3 linked regions of the Ovis aries genome follow. The protein of the gene in region 1 interacts with the protein of each later gene in a pairwise test. Links are inferred from orthologs where the notes say so. Each region holds a gene or a part of one and is shown on either strand. Other genes may lie near its edges. The genes, in order: WIPF1, WWP2 and FASTK.

The links.
Region 2: the proteins of WIPF1 (region 1) and WWP2 interact in binary tests that used the Homo sapiens proteins (3 or more experiments, as listed by UniProt). The two-hybrid records come from large-scale screens. The link is inferred for Ovis aries from reciprocal best matches to the Homo sapiens genes WIPF1 and WWP2.
Region 3: the proteins of WIPF1 (region 1) and FASTK interact in binary tests that used the Homo sapiens proteins (3 or more experiments, as listed by UniProt). The two-hybrid records come from large-scale screens. The link is inferred for Ovis aries from reciprocal best matches to the Homo sapiens genes WIPF1 and FASTK.

Annotation. Positions count from the first base shown.
Region 1 is NC_056055.1:135,480,649-135,484,190, forward strand, and holds part of WIPF1 (WAS/WASL-interacting protein family member 1), read left to right. Parts: intron 1-1,093; coding exon 1,094-1,273; intron 1,274-3,542. UniProt on the Homo sapiens protein: Plays a role in the reorganization of the actin cytoskeleton. Contributes with NCK1 and GRB2 in the recruitment and activation of WASL.
Region 2 is NC_056067.1:36,378,888-36,383,013, forward strand, and holds the start of WWP2 (NEDD4-like E3 ubiquitin-protein ligase WWP2), read left to right. Parts: upstream 1-1,326; 5' UTR 1,327-1,341; coding exon 1,342-1,368; intron 1,369-3,618; exon of another isoform or gene 3,619-3,692; intron 3,693-3,829; exon of another isoform or gene 3,830-4,126. UniProt on the Homo sapiens protein: E3 ubiquitin-protein ligase which accepts ubiquitin from an E2 ubiquitin-conjugating enzyme in the form of a thioester and then directly transfers the ubiquitin to targeted substrates.
Region 3 is NC_056057.1:115,271,026-115,275,189, reverse strand, and holds the start of FASTK (fas-activated serine/threonine kinase), read left to right. Parts: upstream 1-1,330; 5' UTR 1,331-1,429; coding exon 1,430-1,511; intron 1,512-1,538; exon of another isoform or gene 1,539-1,724; coding exon 1,725-1,778; exon of another isoform or gene 1,779-1,797; coding exon of another isoform or gene 1,798-1,836; intron 1,837-1,881; exon of another isoform or gene 1,882-2,066; coding exon of another isoform or gene 2,067-2,139; intron 2,140-2,323; coding exon 2,324-2,749; intron 2,750-3,423; coding exon 3,424-3,603; intron 3,604-3,710; coding exon 3,711-3,850; intron 3,851-4,164. Other genes in the region: TMUB1 (transmembrane and ubiquitin-like domain-containing protein 1), read left to right, coding at 210-561. UniProt on the Homo sapiens protein: Phosphorylates the splicing regulator TIA1, thereby promoting the inclusion of FAS exon 6, which leads to an mRNA encoding a pro-apoptotic form of the receptor.

The sequences.
Region 1 (3,542 bases):
GAATTATAAGTACCACACGTATGCAGGCAGGTGAGTGTTGAAATGAATTTGCAAATAGGTGTAAAATAGGTCAATAATCAGTTGAATTACACTGAACACAGCTAATATGCATTTCTGTGGACAAATACGCATTATTTTCAGTTTTCTACAACTTACAGAGTTATAGACTACCTCAAAGGCAATGGGAAATGACCCAGAAGGCTAACTGGATACTTGGTAATCCTTTTCTTTCTTCTTCTTTTCCCTTTTTGTTGGTCTGCCCATTTCAGAATCTTTCACAATTTTTTTTTTTGGCAACAAATGCAAACTAAAACAATCTTTACATTGTCTCAAGTTGCAAAGAATTTTTAAAATGTTAAAGTCTACTGTTGCTTTTTATGATATTAAAAAATTGAAATCAACCTGAAAGGCCATCAAATAAGTAAATGGTTAAATAAATTACAGCACATTCATGTTCTAAAACACAATGCAATCCTTTAAACTCATGCTTTCAGAGAATATTTAATAACATGGGAAATGCTAACAATATTGAGTGAAAAAAGCAGACTAAAAACTATGTAGTGAATTTGGTCTTAATTTTAAGAAAAAAAGTATATCCAGTGAAAAAACTGGCAGGGGAAAAAATATACAAAAACAGCAGGTATTTCCATGAAGCAGAATTATGGGATATTTTACTTTATTCTATTTTTACCTGTTCCTTTCTTCTCACCTTTTATTGCATCTTCTCCTCCCTTAACACATTCTTTCTTTTAAGATACTTTTATTTGCCAAATTTTCTGATACAGAGCAAATAGATATTATTAATTCATATGGCAGTGAGCCATGTGGAGGAAAGACATTATCTATTACCAATTCTTCCACCACAGGGCTTGAGATAGCCCTGGAGTAGAAAGAACCCTCTTCTGCTTTTCTGACTAGAGATAGGGTGAGTCCTTAAAATCCTACCCTCTAATGAAATCGCAGTTGTCCACCATGGGCTTAGGGTCAGCCAGCTTCCTGCTGTATCATTATTGTTTACCTGGGCCAGGACTGGTGGAGTTCTCCGGCAGTGTCTTCATACATGTGAAAAGAATGTGTCTTCTTCCTTCTACAGAACCTAAAGGAGCTGCTGGTGGTGGTGGTGGCGGCGGCTATGGCGGAGGTGGCGGCGGCTATGGCGGAGGTGGCGGCGGAGGAGGTGGTGGAAGTTTTGGAGGAGGTGGACCACCCGGTTTGGGAGGACTGTTCCAGGCTGGAATGCCGAAGCTGAGATCCACAGCCAACAGGGAGAATGGTAAAGAGCATTTTCTTCCCTTAGTAACCGAAGACTAAGGCACAATCTGGCGGTTTGAGATTTGGCATCCCCTCTAAGGCACTATGCCCTTTAAAACATTTTAGATTGCTTGAAACGCTAACACCGTTTTATAAGAGGGACTCTATTTAGCATCGTTTTTTCTTTTTAAATCAGGATCAGACAGCTCCATCTAGCTGTTAAATATTTGCCCAGTGTCCTTGGGGAAACTTGTACTTTTTTGTACTTTTCTAAAGGGTGAGCTAGATTGGAAAGAAAAGGAAGGAGCAAATGAGAGAAAAATCATGGAAACTCTGTCTGGTGACATGGCAGATTCAGCTTTCTTTGTGAGGTAGTCTGACCTAGCTGTCTAGTGGAGTAAATACTTGTGAGTCTCTTTTCAAACACACAGTGGAGCATGTCTTAGAGAATATAATTACATATCTCACAAAAATCTAGAAGGGCATTTTGCCTGGCAGACATTTGCCATTTCAGGGCCAGCGATTCTAGTATTCTCTGCAGGAAGCCATGGAAATGGGTCCTATAGGAATGTCTGTGAACAGAATGGCAGAAAGAAAACTGAACCTGGTCATGCCTAAATTAAAAACCTTATAGAGTGCGTGAGGCTCTTCCCTGATTGTGACAGAAACTCAAGAAAGTTTTCCATGAAATTTTATTTTTTAATGTTTACTGTGCTAGAAGAATTTTATTTTTAATTCCATGGTCTTTTAAAATGTCACTGGGAAATTCTCACATTCACATGAAGATAAAGGCACTGAATCCTCAGAGTTAGCTGACTATGTTAGTTTTGGATTGTCAAAATCTAGAGGGAGACTCACTAATATAAGAGATTTTATCTTGCTAGGCCTGCATTTAGAATTTGTATATTTAAAACCTACTGAAAGGTTTTGAGGCAGCAGACATATGCATACGTTCAGTACTCTAATAGTAAGTGAGGAAATTTAGGCCAGAGACAACTGGAAGTAAAATAATTAAATGAAGATGGAATTGAAGTTAATGCACAAAATGGTGTACCAGAAGTATATACTTTCACAGCATACAATTTGCATATTGGGTCCTACATGTAGATGTAGCTATGGATAATAACTGTACCTTTAGGGCTTCCCTGGTAGCTCAGTGGGTAAAGAATCCACCTGCAGTGCAGGAGACCCTGGTTCAATTTCTGGGTCGGGAAGATCCGCTGGAGAAAGGATAGGCTACCCACTCTCTCTGGTATTCTTGGGCTTCCCTTGTTGCCCAGCTGGTAAAGAATCCACCTGCAATGTGGGAGACCTGGATTCAATCCCTGGGTTGGGAATATCGCTCGGAGAAGGGAAAGGCTACCCACTCCTGTATTCTGGCCTGGAGAATTCCCTGGACTGTATAGTCCATGGGTTGCAAAGAGTCTGACACAACCGAGCGACTTTCACTTTCATCCAAACTTTGAAGATAAAACTTATCACAAGTTGGTGACATAGAAACATACCACACAGCCAAGGAAAATATAGCTAATTTCTAGTGCTAAAGTCAAAACAAAAAATTCTCTCTAGAGTTCACATTACTCCATTGTATAAATCCAGCCAAATGTTTCTCATTGGACTTTTGGGTGAAATCTGAACTCCTTTTGGCCTACAAGGCTCTTAATCACCCGGCTTCTGCTGACCACTCAGGCTGCATTTGACAGTGTTCTCCTCTGTGCTCACTGTGTCCCTGGCATATGAGCCTTGGTTTTTTAACTTAAGCTTACTTCCACCTCAGGGTCTCTGTACCTGCTGACACTCCAACTGAAGCACCTCTCTTCCTCCTTTCCATGGCTGGCCTTAGCTCAAATATCACATCCCAGAGGAGCCATCCCCAGCCATGTCCACCTATCCTGGCCTCTCTAGAACTCTTCATGTCATCAGCCTATTTTAGTTTATTTTTAGTACTTATAATGATCTGAAAATATTTATGTTTACCGGGTTTTTGTTCATCTCCGTAAGAACATAAACTACAAGAGAACTGGATTGTTTCTATTTTGTTTACTCCTCTGCCTCTAGCATCTAGAATAATGGTTGGTTTATAGTATAGCAGGTACTCAATAAATAATTGGTGCATGTTTAAACTGGTAGGAGTTTCCAGGCTAAGCATTTTTTGAAGAATGAATTTGGGTTGCAAGAGACTCTGCAGTAGTGATTTGAATTTTTCCATAACTTTGGTTCCTCTTTAGTTCTGCCCTTTGCTGAACCAAAGCAGTCGAACATTAATTATGTAGTAGGGTGGTTCTGTCCTA
Region 2 (4,126 bases), on another chromosome or scaffold:
AGAATGACCTAGATCAATGGTCCCCAACTTGAGTGTAAATCAGAATCACCTGCAGAGATTGCAGAACTAGAAGCCCAGCCCAGTTTCTGATTGAGTACATCTGGGCAGAGCTGGACAAGCTGCTTTTCTAGTAAGTTTCAGGTGACATTGATGCTTCTGACCTGGGGTCACACTTGAGAACCACTGATTTAGGAGAATAGTCAGGAAAAGAAAGATCAGGCTTTGAGCCATTCTTTTTCTAGTAAACATTAAAAATACCTGTCAATATAGGTTTCTTGACACTTTGTAGCTTTTGTTATTTTTTGGCAATACTTTAATCCCTTTTCTTTTTCCCTGTAATGTTAGTCTCCAAGTCCCTTGAAGCCTTGGGACTGTCATTTGGTGAAAAAATACATACTGAGAGCTAATTTACACCACCATGATTTGGGTGATGTAATAGCTATGAACAAAATTATATCCTGTGTAGTGTCGAGGGGCAAGTTTGAGTTTAGAGGCCTAAGCTTTGGAGCCACATCTTGAAGGATGATGAGGGCAAAGACTCATGAGGTCTGAAAATCCAAAGGGAGTGTTCAGGGAGTTGAGGGTAATGTCTTTGGTAGCTGAGGGTGTCTGGGGACAGGTTCTCTCAGAAGTGAAGGAAGAAATTCCCTAGTGGCCTAGCGGTTAGGATTTGGAGCTTTCACTGGGAGACCCCAGTTTCATCTCTGGTTGAGAAACCATCCCACATGCTGCCAAAATACAAAAACAAAAAACACACAAAACCTCAGAGGACCCAGAAGTGAATTGAACCTTGAAACATAGAAAGTGAAGAAATCTCAAAATTATGAAAATTATTGTCACTGGAAACAATTTACCTTAATAAATGAACACTTTCAAACATATGTAGTGGAGAAGGCAATGGCAACTCACTCCAGTACTCTTGCCTGGAAAAATCCCATGGAGGGAGGAGCCTGGTGGGCTGCAGTGCATAGGGTTGTGAAGAGTCGGACACAACTGAGCGACTTCACTTTCACTTTCATACACTGGACAAGGAAATGGCAACCCACTCCAGTGTTCTTACCTGGAGAATCCCAGGGACACCAGAGCCTGCTGGGCTGCTGTCTATGGGGTTGCACAGAGTCGGACACGACTGAAGTGACTTAGCAGCAGCAGCAGCAAACATATGTAGAAGGACCCATGTATAACTCATTTGGAGATAATGACAACTTCAACATGTGAGACCCTTTATGAAAGAGAAAAGGTCTTGATTGTGTGCCAGTGAAGATCTGACTTCACTTCCAAGAAAATTTACAGGCTATAAAACTTTACACTTAACAGTTGGGTAGGGAAGAGAAAAACTTGATGCAGAAGAAACGCGACTTGAATTCAGTAAGTATATCTAGAATTCCTCTGGACTTTCCTGGGAGTGTCCCGGACTTTCTTATCTCTGCCTTTGACCTTGTTTTCTCTTCTGCCTGAAAATTCTTCTTGCCAACCCCCACTTACTTAGTCTCCAAGAAGCCACTCTGTTGTTCCCTCTGTAAACTTGTCCTGATTACCCAAATCAGAGTTTTCTCCAAGGACAGATTTGGACCCTTATTTCCCACCATACTTAAGACATTTCAAATCTAGCCCTCAATGAGCAGTTATTACTTCTGCTTTGCATTGCAGTTACTTGGTTGTCTTCTTTAAGTAGATTAGAAGTCAGGGACTGTTTTAGGGGCCTTTTTCCTTAAATGAACATTTCAACTTCTTTTTAGTTTTTTTTGGGTGCTTTCATGATGACATAGTTCAGATTTTTTATGTGTCTTAAAATATCTCCTGTATTGCAGGACCTATAGAAGCCAGTTCAGTGCTCAGTAAAAGTTGATGTAGCCTGTTCATTCAACGGATTATTTAAAGAGGCCTCCTATTGGCCAGGTACTGCTTTGGAAGCTGGGTTATAGCTCCTGTCTTCATAATTTTTTTGTAGGGGGTAACGTAACAGATTATACATATACACATTCATGTGAAAGGCAGATAGTGCTAAGTTGAGGAATTACGGAGAGAAAAAACAAAGCAGGAAGGTACTGGTAGGAGGGGAAAGGAAGAGATGAGTTGCGATTTAAACTAGTGTGACCAGGAAAGGCTTCACTGCAAGGGACAGTTAAGCAAACATATGAAAGAGATGAGGGGGTGAGCCAATTGACTACCCAGGAAAAGAGCTTTCCAGGAAGAGGGAAAAGCCAAGTCCACAGACCCTCAGGCTAGAGTGGCTGAAGCAAGGTACTGAGTGAAACTGCAGTTGGAGATGAGATAAACAAAGGGGAGGGGTGGAAGGGACCATGTAGAGAATTTATGAAAGAAAAGTGAAGCGCAAGAAAAGTCTTTCAGTCCTGTCGGACTCTTTGCGACCCCATGGACTGTAGCCTACGAGGCTCCTCCATCCATGGGATTTTTCCAGGCAAGAGTTCCGGAGTGGGCTGCCATTATTCAGGATATATATCAAGCTTTTACTCCTTTAACTCACAGTGAGAGACTGCCTTGGCTAATCCCTTTTTTTCTTTTGGTGAACACCTACTCAAATGCCACCAAATCAAAGAGGCCTTCCCCTAGAATAGAATTAGTACCGCTCCCATCTAAAGACTGTTACTAGGGAAATTTTAATAGTTTTATAGATGGGATTACTGTAAGAATTAAGGTGTTAACAGAGGACTGTAGCTCCTTTAAAGGCCATCTCCTGGATGGATTTGGGATGGGAAAAGTAGAGACTAAATGCTCAACCAGTTTAATTTGTATGCATATCTGATCCCTCCACCTGGAAGACCTAAAAATAAGACTAATTAGTTCACAGTGCTTAAGGCTAATTAGTTGATTCATACTCATTTTAGTTAATGCTGATTGAAAGTGAAAAATTTATTCAACTTGTCAAAGCTGAAATTCTTGACCATCGGTAAAGAATACTGACTTAAAATATTTTATTTTCCAATTCATAAAGTTCTACCTAATCTATATATTATCAAAATAGGGCTAGTTTGCTGTGCTGGGGCATCTTATGGACAACAGCAAAGGTTTCAGTGATTTTCTACCTTTGTTTTATGTCACAAGAACAGATGCTCCACAAAAGCTACTTTCGAGTTTCTAGAGCCTAGAAACGTGCCTGGCACATAGTAGGCTTAGGGTTGTCAGATATAGCAAATTAAAACATAGGATGCCGATTACATATGAGTATCAACTAGTTTTTTTAAACTATAAATATGTACTGTACCAGACAATATTTGGGGCACACTTCCGTATTAATGGCAGTTTAAAATTACAATTTAAGTCGGTGTTCTGTATTTTATCTTGTCTGTTAACCCTAAGGAGTTCAATAAATATCTGCTGACTTAATAGACTGAACGCCTCCTCTCACCTGTAAAATGGGGCTAAGATAGACACGCCCTCAGCGTTGATGGGAGGAGTAAACGAAGCGCCTGGCACTCTGCGAGATTTCAATTTGTTTGCTGGGAGACCATCTAGCAAGTGGAAAATCCTCCCACTTTTTAAACATACAAAGGACAAGAAGGCCTTCTGGCCAGAGGGTCTCAGGCCTGGCCTAGGTTGCCCACACCTGAGACCCGGCCAGCCTCTTCCGGGTCAGCTGACCGCGCGTGGTCACGTGACCTGGCCCGAGTGCGGTCTGTGGAAAGCGGAAGTGGGAGAGGAGTTGGGCGCCGCTTCTGTGGCCGCTGCAGGTAGCCAGCGCGGGCACTGGGGACGCAGCGGGCGGGTGGGGGCTCGGAGAAGTCCGGGGGCGGCGGGCGGCGCGGGGTGGGCCGGGGGAGGCGCGGCCCCGGCGCCGGGGGGCGGCGGCTTCCTGTGGGAGGGGCCTGGCGCGGCGGTTCCGGCCTCCGAGGAGGGGTGTCCCGACTCCCGCCCGAGCGGGGTGGGCGCGCCGCTGGCCGAGCGCGGGGGCTGCTCCGAGGTGGGCGCGAAGGCCGTCCTGAGTGCGGCGGCCAGCAAGTCGTTCCGGAAAGGGAAAGCATCATAGGTGCCAGGCATGAAGAGGAGTGACCTTTGTGGAGGAAGCGGGGCAGGGGGAAGGGGCGACTTGGGGGATTGAGTTGCAGTGGGTCGCCTGAGAATGGGCGAGTGACGTGGTGGGGAAAAAAGGAGAAATTAGCTAGCA
Region 3 (4,164 bases), on another chromosome or scaffold:
GTCCTAGAAGGACCAGCAGAGATCCCGGAGATCCTCTTATAGATGAGGAAACTGAGGCCCCTAGTCACACACTGTATTGCTCCCCTGAAGCAGAAGGGCCCCACACACACACACCGTGGAGGCCAGAGGTGAGGGTAGGAGAGTTGTTCCGGACCAGGGGCCAGGAGTGCCTGAGACTCGCTCTATTACCCAGGTCCCTCTCTCCTCAGGACCCAGTTTCCCGGCCGGGAACAGCACGTGCGACTCATCTACCAAGGGCAGCTACTAGGAGACGACACCCAGACCCTGGGCAGCCTTCACCTCCCTCCCAACTGTGTCCTCCACTGCCACGTGTCCACACGGGTGGGTCCCCCCCTCCCGCCCTGCCCACCGGGGTCCGAGCCAGGCCCCTCAGGGCTGGAAGTAGGCAGCCTGCTGCTGCCCCTGCTCCTCCTGCTGCTGCTTCTGCTATGGTACTGCCAGATCCAGTACCGGCCCTTCTTTCCCCTGACCGCCACTCTGGGTCTGGCCGGCTTCACCCTGCTCCTCAGCCTCCTGGCCTTTGCCATGTACCGCCCGTAGTGCCTCCACGGGCTCTTGGCCACGCCACCGGCCTCTCGGGACCTTGCTCGCCACGACAAGGTGGGAGCTGCTGTCTGCCCAGGCCCGCCTCTCCGACCTGCCTCTTCCCACTACCCTGGAGCCCAGCGCTGCGCGGCAGAGCACTCCGAGGGGCGGCGGAAGCCCCTCCCTGTGACCTTCATGGCTCTGGGCCACCTCCCGGGGCAGCTGGCCCTCAGCGCCCCCTGACAGTGGGCTACCCCAAGTCAGACAGCTGCTGTAGTTGCCTTGGCCCTGGACAGAGCGGGGCCACGCCCCTGGGCCCTTAAGGGCTCAGCCTGAGGACCTGGGCACCTCTTAGTCCCGGATCGCTCCTTGGCTGGTTTGGGGGCCCGAGGACTGGGAAGGGCTGGAGAAGGGGAGTCGGGATGGGTGGAGGGGGCTTTCTGGAACACGTGCAGATTAAATAACTGTGACGTTTTCACTCTTGGCCTAGTGTCTGCGTGTGTGGGTCGTGGAGGAGGGGGGCTACGGGGAGCTCTGCCCTACTGGGAGAAAAGGGGTGGGCCAGATGCTTCGCCCTACCCTGCCCTGCCCGCCCAGGCCAACCGCTGCTCACTCCCCTCTGCACCCCAATCTCATCCCCCAGCCCTTTGGCCCCGCCCCTACCCCGCCCCTACCCCGCCCCAGGCCTTTGGTCCCGCCCCAGCCCGGCGCCGCGCGCGCGCAGCTTCCCGGAAGCAGGGGGCGGGGCGCGCGGCGCCCTGGCGCGCGGGGCCTGCCGGGAGCCACGTCTTTGCTGGCGGAGGACCTACTTGGCGCGGCGATTGGCGTCCGGGCCGCGCTGTTCGGGGGCTGCCGGGAAGATGGAGGACTCGGTGGCCCCCTGATGAGGAGGCCGCGGGGGGAGCCCGGCTCCCGGGCCCCGAGACCGACCGAGGGAGCGACCTGCGCGGGGCCTGGGGAGTCATGTAGGGGTGGCGCCTGCGGGGCGGGCCGCGGGGAAGGGCGGCGGGAGTTGGTGTTGGCGACCGCGACCACGGTCTCCTGGCATTCCCCCCGGGCCGCGGGTGGGGGTGTGTGTGGGGGCCCCCCTGACACCGCCGACTCCGCGCCGTAGCGCAGGCCGCGCCCGCGGGCTCCACGGGCGCCCTCCGAGGTGGCCCTGCGTTCTCGTTTCACAGGCGAGAAGGCTTGGGCAGGGAGACCGAAGCCACTTGTCCAAGGTCACGCAGCTGGTAAGTGGGAGCGCCCAGCATGGAACCCAGGACCACGGAGCCCGCGCTCCACCCTCCGGTACCGCCGCCGCCTCCTGCGGGAGGGGGAGGTGGTCGGGGGTGGGGGGGAGCGTATCTGTCCGGCGAGCTGGGTTCCAGGCTGGGCGCGACCACTAACCAGATTCGGGACCTCGGGGCTTGCCTTAACCCCCTCGCCTCCCTGGGCCTTGGTCTCTCCACCTGTGAAATCGAGATAGTACCAGCCCCTGCCTGCCTCCTCACGGGCGTGTCAGAGGAGGATCGGAGGAGATGATGCATGTGGAATTGCTCTGTAAAAAATCCTCCGCGAGAACTCTGAAGGATTCCGATTGCTCTCGCAAAGGTTGGAAGGAGTCAGAGAGGGGCGGGTTGGGGAAGAGGACCAGAGCAGTCACAAAGAAGGGTGAAGAGAATACGGGTTGCTCTGTCCCCAGACTCCTCTGGATGGGGAGCGAGGTGAGGAACAGAGAGTTGGTCTTTCTCCCCTTTGGAGAATACCTCACTCCCTTTTTTGGGCCACCCCTCAGGGTCTCCAGCACCCAACTCCATGCTTCGAGTCCTGCTCTCTGCCCAGGCCTCCAGTGCTCGTCTGTCTGGCTTGCTGCTGCTCCCACCAGTACAGCCTTGCTGTCTGGGACCCAACAAATGGGGAGACCACCGGCCTCCTGGAGGAGGCCCCCATGCAGGCCCTGTGCAGGGATTGCAGCGGCTTCTGGAACAGGCGAGGAGCCCTGGGGAGCTGCTACGCTGGCTGGGGCAGAACCCCACCAAAGTGCGTGCCCACCACTACCCTGTGGCGCTTCGTCGTCTGAGCCAGCTCTTGGGGTCTCTGCCGCAGCCCCCTCCTGTGGAGCAGGCCACACTGCAGGACTTGAGTCAGCTCATCATCCGAAACTGCCCCTCCTTTGACATTCACACCATCCACGTGTGTCTGCACCTTGCAGCCTTACTGGGTGAGGACGGTGTCTATGGGTGGGTGGGTGTCAATGGAAGGATAGAGAAACTGTAGCAGACCCACCTGAGATCACTGACAGAACCCACCTCAAGCTTTGCCAGGAATGGCACACTTGCTGAGTGATGCCACACTTGCTGCTCCTCTGCGGTATCCACGATAGTCATCACGAGTCAAGCAGCATGAGTTGCAGCTTAGGTTAGGGTGCCACCCCCTTTTTTGTTGTTTAGTCGCTAAGTCGTGTCTGGCTCTTCTGCGATCCAATGAACCATAACCCACCAAGTCCTCAACCCAATACTGGAGTGGGTTGCCATTTCCTTCTCTAGGGGATCTTCCAGACCCAGGGATCGAACCTGTGCATTGCCAGGCAGATTCTTTACCACTGAGCCACCAGTTCTCTTCTAATACAGTGCCCTAGGGAGCCACTGCAATTGATCATCATTGGCAAGAGATGAGATCTTACTGCCTTCTTTGTATAAGGCCTTTCCCACAGACGGTTGTGATACCTTTATTCACGTGGTAGTTCCTATTTCTCTGGTGTTTCCGCGTGCTCTGTAGCAGATCTTCCAGCCCAGAAAACAGAGATGAGAAGGACTGAGGATTCACTAACTAAAACTGCAGGATTGCAGAGCAGAGCAGCTCCTTCCCTGCCTCCTTTGACCCTCTGCCTCTCAGGCTTCCCATCAGATGGGCCCCTGATGTGCGCCCTGGAGCAGGAGCGAAGGTTCCGCCTCCCTCCGAAGCCACCGCCCCCTCTGCCGCCTATCCTTCGAGGTGGGCAAAGGTTGGAAGCCGCTCTAAGCTGTCCCCGTTTCCAGCGGCGTCCTCAGCAGCACCTCATCCGCAGCCTGGCAGGTGTCAGAGCGGGGGACAGGTGATGGGGGGGTGGAGGCAGGCAGTATCTGCTGGAATCTCACCCAGGTCTGGCCTGAGGGTCCAGCGTGATAAGCTGTTCTTCACAGAGGCCAGGCCTGAGGAACTGACTCCCCACGTGATGGTGCTCCTAGCGCAGCACTTGGCCCGCCACCGGTTGAGGGAGCCCCAGCTTCTGGAAGCCATTGCCCACTTCCTGGTGGTTCAGGAAGCCCAGCTCAATAGCAAGGTGGGATTGCCTCAGCTTCCCAAGCTCCTCTCCTAGTGGCCCTCAGACACCCCAGCAGGCCTAGCTCCCACCCCCCTCATCTTGTCCACTTGATTGACTGCTGCTTCCTGCAGCAGACCACCTACCTACGCTCTCTGGCCTCTCCCCTGGGGTACCACCTTGGCTCAAACCCCCACTGGCTTGTCCAACTCCCCACCAGGTACACCTGGTTCTCTGCACTTCTCCAAACATCCTTAGCCACTGTCTTAGCTTGGTCGATCCCACTCCACCAAGTCTTCAGGGCCAGAACCCGCAGCCGTGTCTCTGCTTGTTTG